Linked DNA regions of Oryctolagus cuniculus. The protein of the gene in region 1 binds, or shares a complex with, the protein of each later gene. Links are inferred from orthologs where the notes say so. Each region holds a gene or a part of one and is shown in the gene's direction. Other genes may lie near its edges.

Region 1 (6,271 bases):
GTGAGCCGCGGCGCCGGCCACCTTTGTCTTTTAATCAAACTTATTTCTTGTTTCTTTTTTTTAAGATTTATTTATTTATTTGAAGGCAGAGTCACAGAGCAAGAGGAACAGGCAGAGAGAGAGAGAGAGAGAAAGGTCTTCCATGTGCAGGTTCATTCCCCAAATGGCCACAATGGCCGGGGCTGGGCCAGGCAGAAGCCAGGAGCCAGGAGTGTCTTCTGGGTCTCCCCCGGGGTGCAGGGGCTCAAGCCTGGGCCATCTTCTGCTGCCTTCCTAGGACGTGGCAGGGAGCTGGATCGCAAGTGGAGCAGCTGGGACCCAAACCATCGCCCATATGGGATCCCGGCCCTGCAGGTGGCGGCTTCACCCGCTGTGCCACGGCAGAGGCCTCTAATGAATCTCTCGCTGACACGAGTGAAGTGTGGAAGAGGCTTCCCCGGTCAGAAGAGAACTGCAGTTGCCACCTGCTGCCTGTGGTGTTCTGTATGCTCGTTAGCACTCGGGACAGCGTTAACCCCGGCCAGACACAGCTCAGCAGGCGCGTGGGAGCAGCAGCAGCAGCAGTGTTGTATCAGTCCCGTAGCCGCCCTGTGTCCTCAGAGCGCCCACTCGCACAGGGGAGACACATAAGGAAATACGCGCCTTGTTCTGGACAAAAGCCCACCTGGGCCTTGTGCCGGCATCGATAATAAAAGACCCCTTCCTGGCACAGGCCCTGGGGTCTCTGCCATTGCCACAGGAGACTCACACCGGGGTGGGTCAAGCGGGAGCCGGGAGGCGTGGGCAGAATGGGGCGGACCAGAGGGAGGAAGGGGGTCGTGCAGGGGCTGGAGAGCCTCCCCCAGGGGCACCAAGTAAAGACTCCATCGCCCAGCGCGGGGGCGCCGGGCAGACTGAGCCTCGCAGAGCACGGGGCTCACCCAGGGCACGGTGAGGTGCTGGCTCCAGGCAGGGCCCCCCGAGGGGGTGGGAGATGGGTAGGAGCAGCCCGGCAGGGCCAGGGGAGAGAGCCTGGCTGAGCGAGCCGGGCGGCGGCTGTGGCGTCCTCAGAACCACACGGAGGCCCTGAAGGGCCGGGATCGGGCGTGATGAGAACCTCACTGCTCGAGCCGTGAGGACCATGGACAAGGCGCCCACTGCGGGCAGGCAGGGCGGGGCTGGGCGGCCCAGGAGATGCAGTCAGGCGGGCAGCCTCGCTGACGGAGGGCGTGGAGGGGTGGGTGGACCGGGGCTGAGGGCCACGATGGACACACGAAGGCCCAGGAGACACGGTCAGGTGCAGAGGAGGCGGGGTCAGGGCCGAGGCCTGTGGGCAGCTGGACCCTGCAAGGTGTGCGGATGCTCACACGCATGTCCCCGGCCCTCCCTCACCCGCCGCCCGGCACGGCCTGCGGAGCGCACGCCCCGGTTTCTTAGGCTCTTGGGAGAATTGCAGTGTGAATGTGTGTGTTCCTTCCGGTAGGAAGCAGGGGCTGAGCCCTAACAGCGAGCAGGGGGGCTCTCTAGGTCACGCCGGCTGTCCCCAGGACCCCGCGGGGGGCTCTCTAGGTCACGCCGGCTGTCCCCAGGACCCCGCGGGGGGCTCTCTAGGTCACGCTGGCTGTCCCCAGGACCCCGTGGTCCCTCAGCAAGGCAAGGAGTCTCAGCCTCCGTGCAGCCCGCAGCCCGTCAGCTCACAAATGGGAGAAATTGCCGTTCGTGGCCGACCTGGATCCCACGCGGAGGCGCTTGTGGGCAGTCGCTCCCGCCCCGGACTTCCTGAGTGCTCATCCGAGTGACCTCGGGTGCAGATGGACCCCGGGAGATGTGTCTGTCGCTGGTGTGGCTCAAGATGAAACCAACAGGACACGGCCGTCGCAGGGTCAGGAGCAGGAGAGCCGGGGACCGGGAGAGGCCGGGAGGAGCCAGGCGCCCGCCCCGCAGCCTCCCAAGCCCAGGATGCAATGGAGCTGGGGAAGCCACCCCTGGCACGGCTGCCCTGGGCCCCACAGAGGCTGCAGCCAGAGGAGGAGGCGGAGACTCAGCGGAGCGTTTTGGGGAACTGACCCATGACAACGGCACCTGCTGTACTTCCCCTGCCCGCCCCCCGCCCGCCCCCGCCGCCCTCTCGTTCCTTCTCTCTCACAGTTGGCTGAAAGGTGGGGCCACTTCCGCTGCCTTTGCAACACCAGAGCCTTCTTAAGGGGAGCCGGGCCCGTCCTGCCCCCACCGCCCGTCCCTGGCCGCTCCCGACACCTGCTTGCACCTGACCATGTCCCTGGCGGAGGCCATCAGCCTCTGGAATGAGGGGGTGCTGGCGGCTGACCGGGAGGACTGGAGGGGGGCCCTGGCCGCCCTCTGCGCAGTCCAGGACCCGCACGCCCGGATCTGCTTCAACGTGGGCTGCGTGCACGCCATCCTGGGAGACCTGCCTGAGGCAGAGAAGGTGAGTGAGGGCTCTTCCCACCTCCTCAGTGTCCGCAGCCTCTGCCCTCGGGCTGGTGGCCACGGAACCCAAATCTCCAGGGAGCTTCCGCATTAGCCCAGAGCCCCCGCCCAGCTGGCCTGGGCAGGGCCTGCGCCACAGCTCCCAAAATTCCCCAGCTGCTCGGGAGGGGCGTGGGCAGCCCAGGCCGGGAGCCGTGACCAGGGCCAGGCTGTCCCTCTTCCCCCTCTTCTCAGCCGTGATGGCCCTGACCCACGGGGCACTGGTTCGCTCCGTCTCCGTCTCTGTCCCCGTCCCGGCCACGAGGTGCCCCCAGGGCAGCCCGGCCCTCTGGCTCACCAAGAGCTGGCTGCATCTCCAGTGCGCGCCTAGCTAACCGTGACTGACAGGGCGTCAGCCAAGGGCAGGGCTGGGGATGGGGTCTGAGCACCTTCTAAAGTACTTTTGCCTCTCGCGTACCCCAGTGGGGGCCAGTGGGGTCAGGGCCAGGGAGACGCCCCCGGGTCCGGCAGCAGGAGCGCTCCAGGCAAACGGCGGCGCCGCTCCTCCCTGCACCTTGGGTCTCCAAGGGCATAAACACCGCAGCGATTGCGTGAGACACGGAGCAGGAAGGCGCCGCCCCGTCTCGGAAGTCAGCTGTCACCTTTGCCTGCTGCTGCGGATCCTCGCAAGGCCCTGAGCGCAGCCAGGGCCACACCCACCGCAGGCAGAGCCGAGGGTCAGCGGGCAAGACCCCGGCGGAGGGCGCGGCCGGGGCAGGCCCTGGAGGGTGTGGGTGCCGGGCGTCCCCGCGCGTTCTGTGTCTGGATTGTTCCCTGCCTCGGCTGCCTAAGCCCCATGCTGCCAGCCTTCCGGGTAAATTCTTATTTATTACTTTAATTTTCATAATGAACCATTGTATCCTGATCCAGTGAACTTGAAAGGCAACACGCCCCTCATGCAGAGGAGAAAACTAGGGCTCAGCTAGAGAGTAGGGAACTTGCCCCATGCCACGCCACGAGGAAGTGACAGGCGCGCTGACCCGTGCCCTGCCCAACGCTGCCCGCGGCCTCCGACCTCCTCCACCCTCTCCGCAGGCCTTTACCAAGAGCATCAGCAAGGACAGGCACCTGGCCGTGGCCTACTTCCAGCGGGGGATGCTGCACCACCGCACGGAGAGGTGAGGGCCCCGGGCACTGGGAACTGTGCAACAGCTCAGCGCGGGAGGCAGCGGGAGGGCAGGCCTGAGCTGCGCCGGGGCACAAGGCAGCCGCCACTCGCAGTGGCCTGGCGGCCACAGGGACCTGACGGTCAGCCAGCACGGCACCCACCGTGCGCTGCGGGACGAGGCGTGCCGTGAAACCGCATCGGCCTGGCTTCATCCCTGGTTACGTCCGTCTGGTGAAGTAAAATCCAGCCGCAAACGAGAGAATAGAGCAACACATCAGGTAGATGTGCTGGACCGCGGCCGGCAGTGCTCACGACGCCCGCATCCGGGTTCAGTGCGCAGCTCAGCTCCGGCCTGCCTGCAAGCTGCGGGGCAGAAGTGGCGGCTCAAGGAACTGGCATCGCGTCCCTGCCATCCACATGGGCGCCCTGGGCTGGACTCCCAGCTCTGGCGTCAGCCCTGGCCCAGCCTAACCTGCAGGAAGTACCTTGGCAGATACGAGCTCTCTGTCACTCCGCCTCTCTGCCACACGAGTAAATGATTTTTTAAAAAATATTCTATGTATTTATTTGAAAGCCAGAAATACAGAGAGAGAGAGAGAGGAGAAAGAGAGAGAGAGTCTTCCATCTGCTGGTTCACTCCCCAAATGGCCGTGACAGCCAGGAGCCAGGAGCTTCCTCCAGGTCTCCCACGGGGGAACTTTGGCCATCTTCTGTTTTCCCAGGCCACAGCAGAGAGCTGGATCGGAAGTGGTGCAGCCGGGACTAGAACCGGCACCCATGTGGGAGGAAGGCACTGCAGGCGGCGGCTTTACCTGCTACACCGCAGCACCGGCCCCTACCTGCATTTTTGATGTGTTTACAGTGTTCACATGAAATAATTAGTAAAAAGCTGGCGCCGTGGCTCACTTGGCTAATCCTCTGCCTGCGGCGCCGGCACACCAGGTTCTAGTCCCGGTTGGGGCGCCGGATTCTGTCCCGGTGGCCCCTGTTCCAGTCCAGCTCTCTGCTGTGGCCAGGGAGTGCAGTGGAGGATGGCCCAAGTGCTTGGGCCCTGCACCCTATGGGAGACCAGGAGGAAACACCTGGCTCCTGGCTTCGGATCGGCGCAGCTTTAGCCGTAGCAGCCATTTAGGGAGCAGAACCAACGGAAGGAAGACCTTTCTCTCTGTCTCTCACTGTCTAACTCTGCCTGTCAAAAAAAGAAGAAGGAGGAGAAGGAGAAGAAAAGAAAGAAAGAAAGAAAGAAAGAAAGAAAGAAAGAAAGAAAGAAAGAAAGAAAGAAAGAAAGAAAGAAAGAAAGAAAGCAAGAAAGAAAGAAAGAAAGAAAGAGAGAGAGAAAGAAAAGAAAGAGATAATTAGTAAAAAGAGAAGCATTCACAGACTTAAAGTTAATCCCAACCTCATCAACAACCGGATGACGATATTCTAAGCCTTAATTGCTGATCTTTGGTGCGTGGCACACTGGCCTTGCAGGGCGGGTTCTTCCTCCAGTGTGCACGGGGGCAGTGGCCAGGAATTCGGCTCAGGCTGAGCTAGAACTTCCTGGCAGTGGCAACGGTGGGCGCCTCGTGTAGGCAGAGGCTGATGGACGGGGAGGCTGTGCAGATGCTCAGGGGTGCAGGTTGATGGACGGGGAGGCCCCGAGGACATCCAGGCGTGGGGCGGGCTGGCTCCTATCCTGGGCCGCCTTTGGTCAGCAGCAGGCCCCTACAGCCAGGCACTGGGCTGTTGCTAGGGGCAACCACAGGACGCTCAGAGGAGTCAGAGCTGAAGGAGAGGAGGGAGGGGAAGCGGGGGCGGAGACGCTGCGCCCGCGCAGTCGGGGTGGGCGCTGGGGTGGTGTCCGCTGCGGGTGTTGGACCTGCTGGGCTCACACCTGGTCTGTGCACCTGTCTGCTTCTCCCGCCCCAGAAGCTCCAGTGCAGTGAGAGGGAGGCCCGGCTCCCGTGCCCGGGATCCTCACCCTCCGGCCTGTGACCTGGACGCGGGAAGCAGGTGCAGGAGGAGGCGCAGGGGCAGCAGCGGGGTTTGCTTTGGGGGTGCGGTCTCCCCTGTCGGGGGGGCTTCAGCACTGCTCGCTTCCTCTGGGAATCTCTGCGGTCTCCCGGTATCTCCTGGTGAGGCTGCGCTGAACTCACGGTCAAGGGACCGCAGGTGCAGGTGGGGAGGGGCGTGCGCAGCCCGTGGCCACGTTGGATCAGCCCACCAGAGGTGCGGTGTGGGGTGCGGGGCTGTTGGCCGTCCCAACTCCTCTTTGGCAACTAGCAAAGTGCAGAGCCCCCGCGTGCTTGATCTGACCCCACGCAGCCCCTTGCAGGATCCCCGCCTGCCCAGGGGCCTGCCCCACCTGCCCCCACTTTGGGCACACCAGCTCCAGTGCGTTGGTCGCTGCTGGCCTGGGCCTGCGTCAGGTGGAGGCAGGTGGCACAGTGCCAGCCCCCAGCACAGGACCCAACCAGGAGAATCTTTGGAAAGACTCTTGCCTAAGGCGTGTGGGAGGAGGGGTGGGAGACCAAGAGCCGCAAACCAGGAGGCTGTGCCAGGCGAGCGAGGGGGCGAGGAGCCGGGAGCCCCTGAGGGGATGGGGCTGTCAGAGTCGGTGGAGAAGGAAATCCTGCAGGCGTGGGTGCCAGGTTGGTGGGAGGCAGAGCAGCAGGTTAGGGTTAGGGTCCAAGGCTTGCTCCGGGGGGTGGAGGG
Region 2 (5,810 bases), on another chromosome or scaffold:
ATCTCCGCCCCGATCCTGTCCCAGGCCCTGACTGGCTGCCCAGAGCCCTGAGCCCACCCTCAGGCCGCCCTTGTCCCTGTCTCCAGCCACACGGGGCCCCTGGCGTCAGGATGCGCCATCCTTTCTCCTTGGGGGCCTGGCGGGGTCCTCACGCTGGGAGAAGTGGCCCTGCTGACCACACAGCCTGCCCTGTCTGGGCGGCAGGGTGCAGCTCCCACTGTGCCCCCACCGGCCTGACTGTGCGCCTTGGCTTCTTCACTGGGAAAGGGGGCGAGGTGGAGGGTGGGGCGAGGCTCCTCTGGTCCTGGCAGCCTGCGTTCCCCTAAGGAACGGAGACCCCCAGGAGGCCCCGCCACGGGTGCCCCCTGCGCCGGCAGCTGGTCCTGGGTGGGGTGGGCGGGACTTTGGGGGACATGGAAATTGAGATTTCTCTGCTTCTCAGTGTGTCCCAGAGGGGTGGCTAGGGTGTTCTGTGTGTGTGCGAGTCCCCCTAAAGGCCGAGAGAGGGAGGGAGGGAGAGAGAGAGAGAGAGAGAGAGATGCATGTTCTTGCAGTGAATACAGCGAGGTTCAGAGAGGCTGGTTGCCTGCCCAAGGTCACACAGCAGGACGCGGCTTCCCAGGAACCCTGTCCCTCCCCGCCCTGGGTGGCTCCTGTGCTCACCCCCTGACCGCTGTCACCGCGGAGCAGGGCTGGGATTCCGGGTCCTCTGCCTGGGAGCCGGCAGCCCCTGGACGGGTGGCTCGGCCTTTGGCCCCCCCGTGCTGTAAGGCACCTGTGTCTCGGGTCACTTCAACACCAAAGGCCCCTCCTGGGTGCTGCTGCAGTCCCAGCTCTCTGCTGCCGGGGCCCTGAGCACCATAGGAGACCCGGCTCCGCTCCAGAACTTCGGGCGGTGCCACCCCAAGGTTGACCCAAACCCAAAGCCGAAAGTGACACAGGTGCGTCTTTTCCCGGCATGCCCAGTGCTATCTCCTGGGGCAGCGCCTTCCTCCCCAGGCCCCTCCTGGTGCTTACACAGTGGCACTCACCCAGCGCTGGCCTGGGGGGCTGGGCTAGGCCTCCACCTGCTGGGGCCAGGAGGGGCTTCCTGGAGGAGGTGAGGTTGAGCTGGGGCCGGAGGGATGAGTAAGAGGTTGGCCCTGGGGGGAAGAGGAGGCAGGGAGGAAGGCCAGCGGGCAGCGAGGGCGTGATGGCAGGAGCTTTCCAGGCAGGAGGGAGGAGGCAGTTTGAGGAACTGAGAGAGGCCTGGGAACTCTCTCCAGGAAGTACCAAGTATGAAAAAAAAGGGGTCAGGCCACCAGCTTGTGTGGGGGAGGGGCCGGGGATTTCCCAGGAGAAGTTGTCTTTCTGCTGCCTCCCAGTGAGGGCTTCTTGGAGGAGGTGGCATCCGAGGGGGCGGTGAACAGTGGTTTAATTGCCTTCCGCCTGCATTCACGGGTGTGGAGATGAAGCGGTGGGAGCCCCGCCCACTCGGAGCCCGCGCCTCGGGGTGAGGGTGGGGGAGGGACACTTCACATGTTTGCTCCTGGTCAAGGTGAAACAGTCCCCCAAAGCTGGGAACAAAGGGCTGTCTGTGGCTAGGGGACAGGGGAGTTCCCCATCCCCCCAGGAGGAGTTAGCTGGGCAGGGTTTTGAAGCCTGAATAGGAGTCTGGGTGAAGACGGGCAGGAAGGCGCAGGGGGCAGTGATGGCCAGTGGCTGGCGGCCAGGGCTGGGGAGGGGAGCTGGCGGAGGCCGGTGGAAGCGTGTGGACAGCCAAGGGGCCAGGCGCCGTGGGCAGGGCGTGGCTGGGACGTGCAGGGAGGCAGGGGGCGTGGGCTTGGGTGCTATGGCGGGGGGAAGAGGAGGAGGCGGAGGTCTTAGAGGTCTCAGTGGCCAGCTGGGGGGTTGAGGAGCAGGGCCTGGGGCCTCAGGGCCGGGGGGGGGGCGTGCCTGCAGGCACAGCAGTGGCTCGGCCGCTCAGGGCTGTGTGGCCACGGGAAGGCCCTCGCCCTCTCTGATGCCGGGTTCACCATCCAGAGCAGGAGGCCCCAGCACCTGCGTCTCGGGGAATGTCAGTGAGGACTGTGGCAGGCTCGGGCCCCGGGCGTCCCCCGCACTGGCACGCTGCCTGACGCCAGGAAATCCGGAAGCCGCGCGGGTGCCGGCAGGGGCGCTGGTGCCAGCGTCACAGGGCCCACTTGGAAGTGCCGGCCCCGGGCTGACGGCTGTCCCCGCGTGCTCTGGGGTGGGCTGCCAGGCCCCCAGACGGCCCTCTGCCCACGGCTCAACACCTGTGTCCTGCTGCTCTGGGAAGGCCTGGGCGGAGTCGCTGCGCCCTCCCTGGTCCCCAGCACTGTGCCCTTGGCTGGCTGCTCTTCCTCCCTGTCCCGGGTGACAACATGGGCGTGGCCTTGGGGGGACAGTACGCAGCCTTCTCAGGACAGTTAGGGGCCGATGAATGACCCCTTTTGTCACCTAAGATTAATCCCTGTTTGATAGAACGGTCAGCCCCGAAAGAACGAGGACCACCCCAGTGCCTCGCGCTGTGTGACTTGGGGCCGGTCACAGCCCCTCTCTGGGTCTCGGCCTCTGAATGGGACAGCGCGGGGCTGACCTTGCTGTCTGTCTTGCCGCTCCCTGCAGGTTTGACAACTACTCAGCCAATGTGATGGTGGACAGCAAGCCAGTGAACTTGGGGCTGTGGGATACAGCTGGCCAGGAGGACTACGACCGCCTGCGGCCGCTCTCCTACCCCCAGACGGTGTGCGGCCCCCACCTCCTCGCACGCCCGGCCTCCGCGCTCTGTCCCCTCTGCTTGGGATGCCCTTCCAGCCAGCCTGGCCTCCTGCAGGCCCCGCCGGAGGAGTTGGCCTTGCCCTTCCCAGGCAGAGCCAGGGACCCCCGCTCGTGTCCCCCCCAGCTCTGTGACCACAGCCCACTCTTCCCGGCCTCGGCCTCAGGGGCTCCGGCGTCACGGGGCCCTCATGTCCCCTGGGCTGCTCCAGTGGCTGCTGGGGGCGGGGGAGAGGCTGGGGAGACACCTGTGGGTGCCCCCTCACGAGCCCCCTTGCCCGCTCTGTCCCCAGGATGTCTTCCTCATCTGCTTCTCCCTTGTCAGCCCAGCCTCCTATGAGAACGTCCGTGCCAAGGTGAGGGCCGCAGAGCGATGGTCTGGCGGGGACCCGGGACGGGAGGCGGGGATCCCAGGGCTGGCGTGGGGGCTCAGGGGGCCCCGTGACTGGGCGTCTCCGAGGGTGGCTGGGCCGGGAACTTGGCCAGCTGCCTCCTCTAACCCTGTCTCTCTCCTCCCCTTGCACCTGCGTCCTCCAACCACACACCCCCTCCTCGCGCCTCTCCTTCCCATCTTCTCCCCAACCGCTGTCTCCGGGGTCTGCACGGCGCCACCCAGTGGTACCCTGAGGTGCGGCACCACTGCCCCAGCACGCCCATCATCCTGGTGGGCACCAAGCTGGACCTGCGGGACGACAAGGACACGATCGAGAAGCTGAAGGAGAAGAAGCTGGCGCCCATCACCTACCCGCAGGGGCTGGCGCTGGCCAAGGAGATCGGTAGGGGCTCAGGCTTGGGGCTGGGGTGGGGCGCGGGGGCTCAGCCTCGCCCCGGGCCAGGCTCCGGCGGTCAGCCCGGGCTGTGCCATACCTCTGCTCCATGACCATGTGCCCACTGCCGAGACCCTCTGCGCCTGTGTTTCCTGGCTCAGAGAGCAGGCGATGGTGACAGTGCCTACCTCGGCAGGAGGACTGAGCCCATACACACGAGGTGCCTGGCGGGCAGTACACGGTGGTGGTTAGTGGCCGTGGCACTGGAAGACAAGGGCAGAGAGAGGCAGGGATGGCATAGGCTGTTCTGGGGTTGTGTGGAGCCAAGGCAAGCTTGGGTTTTTCTGGGAAGGCTCCCTGGAGGAGGTGTCGCTGTCTGAGATTGGAAAGGTGACGCACGGCGTCTGCCCTACCCCCACCCCACCTCCCCCTTTTCAGCCCAGCTGCTCCTGCCCGCAGATGGCAGAGGGGAAGTGACATCCCAGGTCACACAGCGAGTAGGTGGCTGCTCTGTGGTTTGGAGGAGGGGCAGCGAATTACTGCAGGGGTGGGGGAGGGGTGGGGCGCTCCTCAGAGTGGCTCCCGCTGCGCCAGGGAGGTGACCACTGTGGGGCCGGCCTCTCCTGTGGTGCCTGGAGCCCGGGGCCACCTGGGCCTCTGGGCACTGCGCCCTCAGCCTCCCCACAGGGTCCCCCAGGGCTCCCCACCCCCACCCCTCCCTGCCTGGGCCCCATCGTGGCCTCAAGCCGGAACTGGCAGGGCCTCGATCCCTTCACAGGAAGAGAAACCGCAGTGCCGCCCGCCTTCCCCGTGACCGGCCTGGGACGCGGCCATCTTTCCAGCCCCCCCCAACCCCGACGCCCCAACCCTGGGTCCCCTGCCCCGTCCTAGGCCCCGCGGGGGCTGGGGGGTGCGGCCCCACCTTTCCTCCTTCCTGGCCAGCCTGTATGTGTCCCAGACGGCGGCTCTCAGCCTGGGCCTTGCTGGCTGTGTGACCCTGGGGTAGTGGTTTGCCCTCACTGGGCCTCCGTCTCCCCTCACGGGGACAGGACTTGGGGGTGCTTCTCTCCTGGAGCTGGCCCTGGGTGGGGCAGGGCAGGGCTATGGCCATGCTGTGACCTGGGCACCTTGGGCCTGGGGGAGGGCGGGGCCCTGCGGGACTAACCAGGAGGCAGCGGCTGCCTCTGTCCCCTCCCCCGGGGCTCCCCAGCCCCGGGATGACGAATTCTGGGGGCGGCTCTGCTCCCTGCTGCTGATCATGGCTGAATATGGCTGTTCCTGGGAGCTGGGCAGAAGGTTCTCCTACTCCATTCCTGCAGCAGTGACGCGGCGGGGGGGACTGTTAGCACCCCCACTTTACTGGAAAGGGGGGGGAAGGCGCTGGCTTCCGGCCGCACACCTAGGAGGTGGCAGGGTGCACATCCCAGCCCTGGGGACCAAACACTGGGGCCGCCCGGTGGAGGGGGGCCATCGCCCATCAAGAGTCCTGGAGACGGAGACTGAGGCCGGGCGGGTGGTGGTGGCCGGTGACCCAGCACGGGCACAGGTCACAGGCAGAGCCGTGGGCAGCCAGGCCCCCAGCTCAGGACCCTGGTGTTGGCCCAGCTGAGCCAGGCCGGGCAAGCAGTGGGGGTGGGTGTGAGGGAAGAGGCAGCTGCTGGTGGGTGTGGGAGGCGCGGAAGTGCTACGGGCCCCTACAGGAACACGCGGCCAAGTGCCGGTGGCCCCTCTAAGCCTGGGGGGTGATGACAAGGGGACCTGAGGGCTGGCTGTCCTTGCCAGACAGGAGTCCGGGGTGGGGGGGGCGCCGGCTCCCTCCAGTGTGAGACTTGGACGAGCGGCCCCACCCTTTCTTTCTCCCCAGCCCAGGCCTGGGGATGGGGGCTCCCCCTTGTCATCCCAACTCCCCCCTCCTAGCTGTGTGCATCTGGACATAGAGCTGGTGCCGACCCTGCTCTGTCCCCTGTGCCTGTGGGCTTCTCTGGGGGGCAAAGTTCCCCTCCCCTGCTCTCCCCTCCCCTCTTGTTCTCCCCTCCCCGCCCCTCCCCTGCACTCCCCTGCTCTCCCCTCCCTGCCCCGCCCCTCCCCTCCGCTTCCTCTGGGTCCTCTGCAGAGGCTTTGTGCTTCCTCACTTCGGGGAACTGTTGAGCTACAGCGGGCGGGGAAGTCACACAGGCTCCTTCCAGAAGGCCGTGGAGCACTGCCCTGCCCTGCCCGCGGTCGGCCCCGGGCTCCAGCCCTGCGCAGTCGTGAGAGCGATGCCAT

The links. The genes of interacting proteins can lie anywhere in the genome.
Region 2: NCF2 (region 1) and RAC2 share a complex: the UniProt entries of both Homo sapiens proteins name them as parts of the phagocyte NADPH oxidase complex. The link is inferred for Oryctolagus cuniculus from reciprocal best matches to the Homo sapiens genes NCF2 and RAC2.

Annotation. Positions count from the first base shown.
Region 1 is NC_091444.1:1,498,228-1,504,498, reverse strand, and holds the start of NCF2 (neutrophil cytosol factor 2), read left to right. Parts: upstream 1-2,227; 5' UTR 2,228-2,251; coding exon 2,252-2,425; intron 2,426-3,501; coding exon 3,502-3,584; intron 3,585-5,485; coding exon of another isoform or gene 5,486-5,569; intron 5,570-6,271. UniProt on the Homo sapiens protein: Subunit of the phagocyte NADPH oxidase complex that mediates the transfer of electrons from cytosolic NADPH to O2 to produce the superoxide anion (O2(-)).
Region 2 is NC_091442.1:114,249,798-114,255,607, reverse strand, and holds part of RAC2 (ras-related C3 botulinum toxin substrate 2), read left to right. Parts: intron 1-2,628; coding exon 2,629-2,746; intron 2,747-3,071; coding exon 3,072-3,134; intron 3,135-3,394; coding exon 3,395-3,554; intron 3,555-5,810. UniProt on the Homo sapiens protein: Plasma membrane-associated small GTPase which cycles between an active GTP-bound and inactive GDP-bound state.